Callithrix jacchus: one gene and its partner. The protein of the gene in region 1 purifies or fractionates together with the protein of each later gene. This does not show direct contact. Links are inferred from orthologs where the notes say so. Each region holds a gene or a part of one and is shown in the gene's direction. Other genes may lie near its edges.

Region 1 (3,812 bases):
ACCCTGCTCAGTGGTAATTACCACAGTTTGGAAATAATATGGAGAAAACATTTTTCCTCTCAAAATAGGAAGAGAGGGATTTGTGAGGTTCAGGAATTTGCGAGTAAATGTGGTTGAGCCAGCGTTTGTCAGAAAGAGATGTACTACAAAGCAAAAGTGCAAGACAACTGAAATTTAAATACCAAAACTTTTTTAAAAATTTTAACCGTTATGAGTGGAAATTTATCTAAAACATATTATTTCCCTGCCATTGGTATATCTGTATATTATTTAATTTGTTTTTATGACATTTATAATAAAGTGCCCTCTAATGGGTCAGTGCGACTGCCCTAGAGGTCCACTCAATTACATAGGGATATTTGGCCTGATATGACATGGTCTGGGCACAGTGCTTTCTAATAATGTGACAGCTTTCTGAAAGTCTTTATTCTTTTTCTTTAGGGTAGTTGGCTTATCACATCTTTGTAACCAATCTACTTACCTTAGCAAGTTTTCTTTTCTCTTCTGATTTTCTGCTTCTGGTCTATTAAGTTTACAAAATAATTTTTAGGAAATGAGTGGGGAGATAAAAGACTTTTCTTTGAGTAAAATCTGACCTTTATGACTTTGGTTTTTTTGTTGTGGTGGTTTCTTTGGGCTATTTATAAGCTGTTTTTACATCCTAGTTTTTGGCTTTATTACAGAGAGATAAAGTTATTGAATAAAAATAAACTTACCTATAGGTGAAATATAACTGTCATCATTAAATATTTATAGCCACATACATTATTACATTATTTATAAAATATAGTGGGATGTATACAAACTATATTAATTCTAAGTCAGTAGCATTTCATGTTTAGAAGCAATCAAGCAATGCCAGGTACAGTTAACCTCTAAGAACTAATCCATTAAAAATAAGGATTTTTAGCCATAGAACATTTTTACTAGTCATTGAATGTTTTGGGGAATTCAGCACCTACTATATATAATATAGAAGTGATTTACTGTTTGTGATCAGATTTAAATTTTACAGCATTACAAACATTGATCTTTTGATAACTCATAAATGGAATGCCTTTTTTGTCTAGGTATTGTCCCCAGTATCAGAACCAGAAGAAGAAAATGATCCTGATGGTCCCTGTGCTTTCAGAAGGCGGGCAGGATGCCAATATTATGCTGTAAGAACTTTTTTGTGTGTGTGGTGTTTTTGTGAACTGGAATTAACAGGTAACCCATGTCAAGATGACTTAGTCTTGATCTAAAAATGGGAAGTGCATCAGTACTTTTTATTTAACATCCTTTATGTGGATACTGGTAAAAGATGCTTAAAAGGTACTGAGTCCTTTCAAAGGGTATTGAAATCCTCTTAGAAATTGATAATTCCTCACATTTTAGAAATTTAGTTTCATTTTGGGCTCTAATTATAACTTCAGCAGTTGTGAAAATTACTTGGTATGTCATTACTAGAATTAGGAAAACCCAGAATTTGTAAGTTGAGTCTAGAACCTTTGATGGCTGCTAGGTGATTACTGAAATTTATTGTTATGTAAGCCCATCTTGTGCATACATACCAATAAGTATCAAACAAAGTAATAATTTTTGAACTTTCCTAATGGCGATGTTTTGTCTAAAAATTGTGGTGGTGGCTTTTTTGGGCTATTTATAAGCTGTTTTAACACACATAGAAGTTGCTTTATGCTATGAAGTCAAATTATATCACTCTCCAAGGTTCTTAGATGAAGTGTAATGTAGCCTTGTAAGGATGGCTTTGGCTTTCTTATATGGCTTGTAGAGATCATATATCTTATAACATGATGGTAAACATACACTGACAACTTTTTTAGGGTGTGTAAATTTAGAAGAGGTGATTTGTCTACTGGTTATGCTGATGAGAGAAAGGAAAATTCTTAAGAAAAGGGACAGACATAGCATGACAGAATGATGGAGGGAATGGGAAGGCAGGGAACAGGCTGTTTGTATGTATATGTGTGTGTATGTATGTATGTATTTATGAGAAAGAGTCTTGCTCTGTCACTCAAGTTGGAGTACAGTGGTGCAGTCATACAGTTCACTGTAACTTTAAACTCATAGGTTCAAGCAGTCCTCCCACCTCAGCCTCCTGGGATTACAGGCACACACAACCACATGCTGTTAATTTATGTATTTTTCTGTAGAGACAGGGTCCTGCTACATTGCCCAGGCTGATCTTGAACTCCTGATCTCTAGTAATCCTCTTGTCTTGGCCTCCTAAAGTGCTAGGATTACAGGCATGAGCCACTGTGTTCCACTTGGTTGTATGTTTCTTAAAAATGAAGAGGAAGCTTCAGTTTGACCCCATAAGTGTTTGAAGTGCGATTTTTAGTCCAAAAAATATTCTTTCTGGTTCTCAGTAGAAAACCTAAAAATTACTCTGTAATTTCACCATTTCTACTTTGTACGCAAATGTTAAAAGCTGTATTATTTTAAAGATATATTCCTTTTTAAGCATAATTGACCCTAAATGAATTTATAAACTAAATTCAGTTTGGGTAATCTTGGGTAATCTTGGTTAGTGAACTTTTGATTCGGTTTTATAAAATTTAACCTGATTAATAGTTTCATGTCGAAATTTTAATTGTTCCGCTAATGTTGCAGTTGCTTCATTTTTATCATGATCTAACCTGTCTTCATTTCAGATTTATTCCATGGGTTTTTCTTTCTTTCTTTATTTGCAGCCTCGTTTGGACCAAGCTAACCATTCATGTGAAAATTCAGAATTGGCAGATTTGGATAAGTTGAGGTATAGGCATTGCCTTACAACACTTACAGTCCCGAGAAGATGTATAGGATTTGCAAGGAGGCGAATTGGCAGGGGTGGAAGGTGAAGTATTTGTTTTCACCTGGTTTTTGTTTACGATATGGAACAGAAGACCAAGAGAAAATGTTAAGCTCTGTCAGTTAATATTTGGTTTTATTTTGCTTTTCAGGGTCATAATGGACCGAATATCCACAGAACATGACCCAGTCCTGAAACAGATAGACCCTGAAATGCTGAATAGTTTTTCAAGCTCTTCCCAAACTACAGACTTTTCTTCTAATTTCTCTCGGACCAATGCTTCTAGTAAACATTGTGAAAATAGACTGTCCCTTTCTGAAATATTAAGCAATATCAGATCATGTCGACTACAGTGTTTCCAGCCAAGGCTACTAAATTTACAGGACAGTGATAGTGAAGAGTGTACCTCAAGAAAACCAGGGCAGACTGTGAACAATAAAAGAGTTTCTGCGGCATCTCTAGCTTTATTGAACACCAGCAAGAATGGCATATCAGGTAAGCTGTTGCTGTGTTAAAAGTATATCCTGCTATTCTTTTCCACTTAATTTTATTATCTACTAAATAAATTCTCAGGGTAAAATTTGAAGATTTATTTTCCCACTTAGGAAAGGAATTTTATCTTTACTACATTTTTTTTTCCAACCTAGAAACCAAATTGTACTGTTGTGCCTCACATTTTAACCAAATTGCCCTAACCAGTGCTGTAAAACCAGTGACATCTATTTTGAGTGTGTGCCTGGTATGATCAATGTAGGCAGAATGCATACAGTGTTTCCCTATGGGCACCCTGCTTATAAGCTGCCACTAGATCATCACAGCATAGTACTATCTGGTGCTTATGTTAAAGGTAGTTTTCATTTTGGTGTGTTGAACTTTGATTAAATGTAACTATTGCTTCTTGAGAGTACCTTTGAAAACACTTTCTGAAAATGATTTTTAGAAGACTCTATGAATAATTTTTTTTTTAAGATGGGGTCTCACTCTGTCGCCCAGTCTGGAGTATAGTGGCATGATC
Region 2 (4,512 bases), on another chromosome or scaffold:
AGGTTCAAGCGATTCTCCTGCCTCAGCCTCCCTAATAGCTGACACTACAGGCACGTGCCACTACACCAGGCTAATTTTTTGTATTTTTAGTAGAGACCGTATTTCACTGTGTTAGCCAGGATGGTCTCGATCTCCTGACCTCCTGATCCACCCACCTCGGCCTCCCAAAGTGCTGGGATTACAGGTGTGAGCCACCGCGACCAGCCAAAACATTTTAAAAATTAACTGGGTGTGGTGGTGTGCACCTGTGGTCCCAGCTACTTGGGAGGCTGAGGTAGGAGGATCAATTGAGCCTAGGAGGATGAAGCTGCCTTCTGAGCTTACTTTAAAGCGTTGTGCAGATATAATTATCTGTGACGAACAGGAAGAGCAACCAGTTACTATTAGCATAAGAGAGCTGGAAGACTAATTGGGGCTGCTGCACTCCAGTCTGGGTGACAGGGTGAGACTATATCATTAAATAACTAGTAAATACGTTTATAACATCAAATCTAAATTATAAAATTATGAATTTATACCATAAAGTTATACTATCAAATCTAAACCTAGACCACAGAACATCCCTTGAAGTGAGCTTGAGCTTCCCAAAACCACGATAGAAATGTCCAAGTGATTTCTACTTGCTCTACTACCAGTCTACGTGCCTTCAAACCCAACAGCGCCCACCTCAGTACACTGGTCCTTTTCCAGACGACAAAGCTGTCACAGTTCAGCATTTTTCCAGTGGTAGTTCTCTACTTCCCAAATAGATGGCTGCCACTTCTCCCACAAGCACCCAAAGGAGGCTCTGATAAGCAGCTGACATTAGCTAGGTCAGCATTCGTGTAATAAACATGGACTGGGTAATTCTCAGTGAGCTTTCCTCGGCCCCCGCCATCTAAAATTTAACAGGCCTCCTCTACACAAGCTCATCCTGCTTTCCCGAATGTCCTTTTTTCTCTTCAGCACTTGTCACCAACAAACCTGAAGTTTACTCATTTATTTCATCTATCTTGTCTCTGCCACTAGCATACAAGCTCCAAAAGGGCAGGGTTTTTGGCAGTTTCGTCCATTGCTGTGTCTCCTCCAGTGCCTCGAACAATGTCTGGGATTCTATCTCTCAAGAAAAGCCAGATATAGAACTAAAGGAATGGCAAAATGTGTGCAAAAAGTAAGATCAATCACGCAGCGTTTGCCATTGCCAGATTGGGTATCTGGCAACAAACAGGTTCACCAATATTTTGCTAAATGGACGAATACACGATCAGTCTCAAAAGACGGTGTGTCTCATTGTCACATGGGGAAGATAGTTAAAACCCAGATAGATGCCCAGGCCCGTGCCAACTAACTGATTCCATTAGCCAAATGGAATTTCTGAATCACAAGGAATTGAGGCAGGTGATCAAACGACCAGGCTCAGTTTGGGGAGAGACTAGAGGAGCGGAGCAGCAGCGAAAGATGCTCAAGACCACAGTTCGCAAAGCGGATACCCGAAGAGCGGCGCCTCCGGGGGCGGAGAAAGGCGCGGTCCCCGCCCTCCAGAGACTTTCAGTCCAGCGCTGGGAGGCGAGGGACCCGCAGCTGCGACCCTCGGCACCCGCGTTCTCGGGCTCCCTCCCACCTGAGCGCTCCCCGCCGGCGCAGGTCGCCCAGGCTCCGCCCCCCGGAGCTTCACCGCCCACCGCGCGCCCCGCCCCAGCGCGCCCAGACCGCGCGCCGCGGCCTCCCTCACCCGCCGGCCTCGCAGACGCCGCAGCAGCTCGTCCTCGTCGTCCTCGACTTCGCCGAAGACCAGCTCCTCCAGGCACCGCTCCACGGCCGGTTTGTCCTCCTCCAGCGTCAGACGGTTCCGCTGCCGAAGCCGTCTCTCCTCCTCGGCCGCCGCGACTGCGATTGCAGCGGCGGCCGCGCTCGGCCGAGCCGGCGGTTTCCGCTGGGATGAACGGGCAGCCTTTTGGGGCGGCCCGCCCGGTCCGGCTCTCGCTTTCCAATCTGGCCTCGTTCCGGGCTTCCGCTTCGGCTTTGCTCCTGTTCTCCGATCCAGTTTCATTCGTTTCCTCCGTTCCGGCGGCATCCTTGGGTTTGAGGAGAAACGCAGGCGCTCACGTGGAACCTCGCTGCGCATGCGCCCAGGCGACTCTCTGTCCGCCGCCGCCGGAGCCCCGGGGGCTGGAAGGAGCCTGCGCAGCCCCTTGCCACGTGACCAACACTCCCTCCCTCTACGTAACTCCCGCTCCCCTAGCCGGCCCCGCCCCGTGTGGGAGTTCCTCCGGGAGGTCCAATCTTCCGGGTGTAGAGGGAAGCGGCGTGACTGGAGTGGAAAATTTTTCCAACACAACTTCGCAGCTGCAACATATTGAAAGGAGCTCAAGAAAGCCCAATTATACACTGGGACGACTGAATGAAACTTCTACTTTTCCTCCTGACTTTAATCACTGGACTTGACACAAGCCTCGATAAGCTTTCCACCCTTCGTCTTGGTACGGTCCGTGGAGTACGGAGCCTGCCGAGGGTCCCACGCTGGAAGCGAGAGAGGAGGGTATGTAGGGAAGTGGGCCAATCGGGGCGCGGGTCACGGCGCAGGCGCGCTGGGGAGGGAGGGCTATGCTAATGTTGTTGATATCCTGGGGCCACCCGAGTTAAAGGGGGGAAATCCGGGGGCTGCCGCAGCCGCCACCGGTCTGGACCCAGCCGGGGGCCCCCTGTATCGCCGCAGTCCCGGGGAGAGGCACCTGCCCCCAGCCCTGGGAGGGGGCGCCGCGGGCTCGGGGAGCACGGACAACCCCTACCCATGAGGCCCTGATGGAAAACACAAAGGATCTGGTGAGAGCCGAGCGCGGCAGCCGCTTTGTGTGCCAGGTCGGGGGGACGCCTGCAGCTCCCCGACCCCAGGAACCCCGCAGCTCCCTGACCCCGCTCCCTGGCCTGCTTCTCCATCCCACGCCCCCTCAACCTCTGGAGTCCCCCTCCCCCTTCCAGCCGTTAAACGATTCAGGGGTTCCCCTCCCCCCACCCCCTCAGCCCCGGACTCGTTGGGGTTCTCTCCATTTCCTCCACCCTCTGGAAGAAAATTTTGAGAAGAAAGTTTTTCTCTGTGTCCCGCCCCCGTCCCCGTCCCCTGCTCTGGCTAGGGGAGAAAGGCTGGATCTGAGACTTTTCCTTTTTTAGCCACCCTGGGTGGGAGAGTGTAGTAGTCCTCACTTCTTTGGAAGGAGGGCGAGCATAGTTTTGGTGCTTTGCAGGGGAAGGTGTCTATCCGCCTTGGGGCCAGTGCCGCGAGGCAATTTGCACGTGGAGGTGGAAATATTGAAAGGGGGCGGGGTGGGCACGTGCGGGAGAGGTGGGAGTGGTGTTTGGGAATCAGCCTCCAAGGCTGCGTATTTAAAAGGGTTCCCAGTCAGTGGGCTTCTATGATTATTGCGTTCTCCTTTGTGAAATAAGAATCCTAACATTTCAGAGTCGGAAGAGACATTAGAGGTCATCCAAAGCAGCCGTTCCCTCTGCAGCCTCTCTGACAAGTGGTAGGTAGCCTGGCCCCTGCTTAAACCCCTAAAAGCACTGAGCGCTCACTACTGCCCGGGAAAGCCCATTTTTCAGTAGTTCTAATTGTTGTTTGCCTACCCTTGTTAGACCCTTCAGTCTCATTCATGTCCTGGTTAAGTTGCTCCTTTTTTTACTTCTCAAATTTTCTCTCACATCCTCCTCACCCACCCACTGCTCATTGGCCTATATTTTGTGTGCCAGGAAAGAACAGCAGGGAAGTGGAGGAAGAGGGGGGCTGAGAGATAGTGAGGGCCAGCCGAAAACTTTGCAGGGTCAGTGTCAAATGTGCTGGCTTACATGCCTAAAGATGATATTTTTCTACAGGAAGCTAGAGAATTAGAATATGGGAATTTCGTGTCTGTTTTCTCTCACTAGTGCATCTTTTTGAAGTTAGAAATTTCAACATTATCTCCGTAGTTCTTGTATCACAAAGCACATTTGCTTGTTTCCTAAATCACTTCTAAGGATGTCTAAAATTGCCTGTTAAGGATAGTACTGAAGCATCACCTGGTAGAGGGGATGATTAGAAGAACTACCGCCTCCACTCATTTGACCTGTGTTCCTTGGAAGCTGGTCTTTCCTCCAAGGGCCCCTCTTCCAAATGCTTTTACTCTTCGTTTTTTTTCAACTCTCTCTATTATGAGATTTGAAATTTATGGACCATTTTAATACTTGTTTAGAGTTTACAGTATTTCAATTCTCCTTTCCTTATACTCACATGCACCAGTATTTATCAGTGGGTGGTTGAGACAGTTCCGTTGAAACTATTGTCACTGGACGTTTTTCTAACATACTTCTTCATTTGATGAGCCATGCTGCCTCCAAAAGTAGTTGTGTTGGCTTAAGAATCTTGGATGTACTTGTTTCTCTCTAATATAGTCAAGTGGGGGTCAAGACATAATAGATACGGTGTAGAAATAATGCCTCTGATCTAAAAGCCAGCAAATAAATTACACCTTAAGCCCCAGTCTCCTGTTTCAAAGGTTAAAC

The links.
Region 2: the proteins of EPC2 (region 1) and MBTD1 purify together in Homo sapiens (affinity purification with mass spectrometry; 3 studies listed by BioGRID and IntAct, with this or other methods). This does not show direct contact. The link is inferred for Callithrix jacchus from reciprocal best matches to the Homo sapiens genes EPC2 and MBTD1.

Annotation. Positions count from the first base shown.
Region 1 is NC_133507.1:81,631,829-81,635,640, reverse strand, and holds part of EPC2 (enhancer of polycomb homolog 2), read left to right. Parts: intron 1-1,070; coding exon 1,071-1,160; intron 1,161-2,696; coding exon 2,697-2,842; intron 2,843-2,948; coding exon 2,949-3,292; intron 3,293-3,812. UniProt on the Homo sapiens protein: May play a role in transcription or DNA repair.
Region 2 is NC_133506.1:115,117,850-115,122,361, forward strand, and holds the start of MBTD1 (MBT domain-containing protein 1), read left to right. Parts: upstream 1-1,685; 5' UTR 1,686-1,711; coding exon of another isoform or gene 1,712-2,053; 5' UTR 2,054-2,380; coding exon 2,381-2,518; intron 2,519-2,564; exon of another isoform or gene 2,565-2,781; coding exon of another isoform or gene 2,782-2,802; intron 2,803-3,034; exon of another isoform or gene 3,035-3,276; intron 3,277-3,436; exon of another isoform or gene 3,437-3,500; intron 3,501-4,512. Other genes in the region: UTP18 (U3 small nucleolar RNA-associated protein 18 homolog), read right to left, coding at 1,712-2,053. UniProt on the Homo sapiens protein: Chromatin reader component of the NuA4 histone acetyltransferase complex, a multiprotein complex involved in transcriptional activation of select genes principally by acetylation of nucleosomal histones H4 and H2A.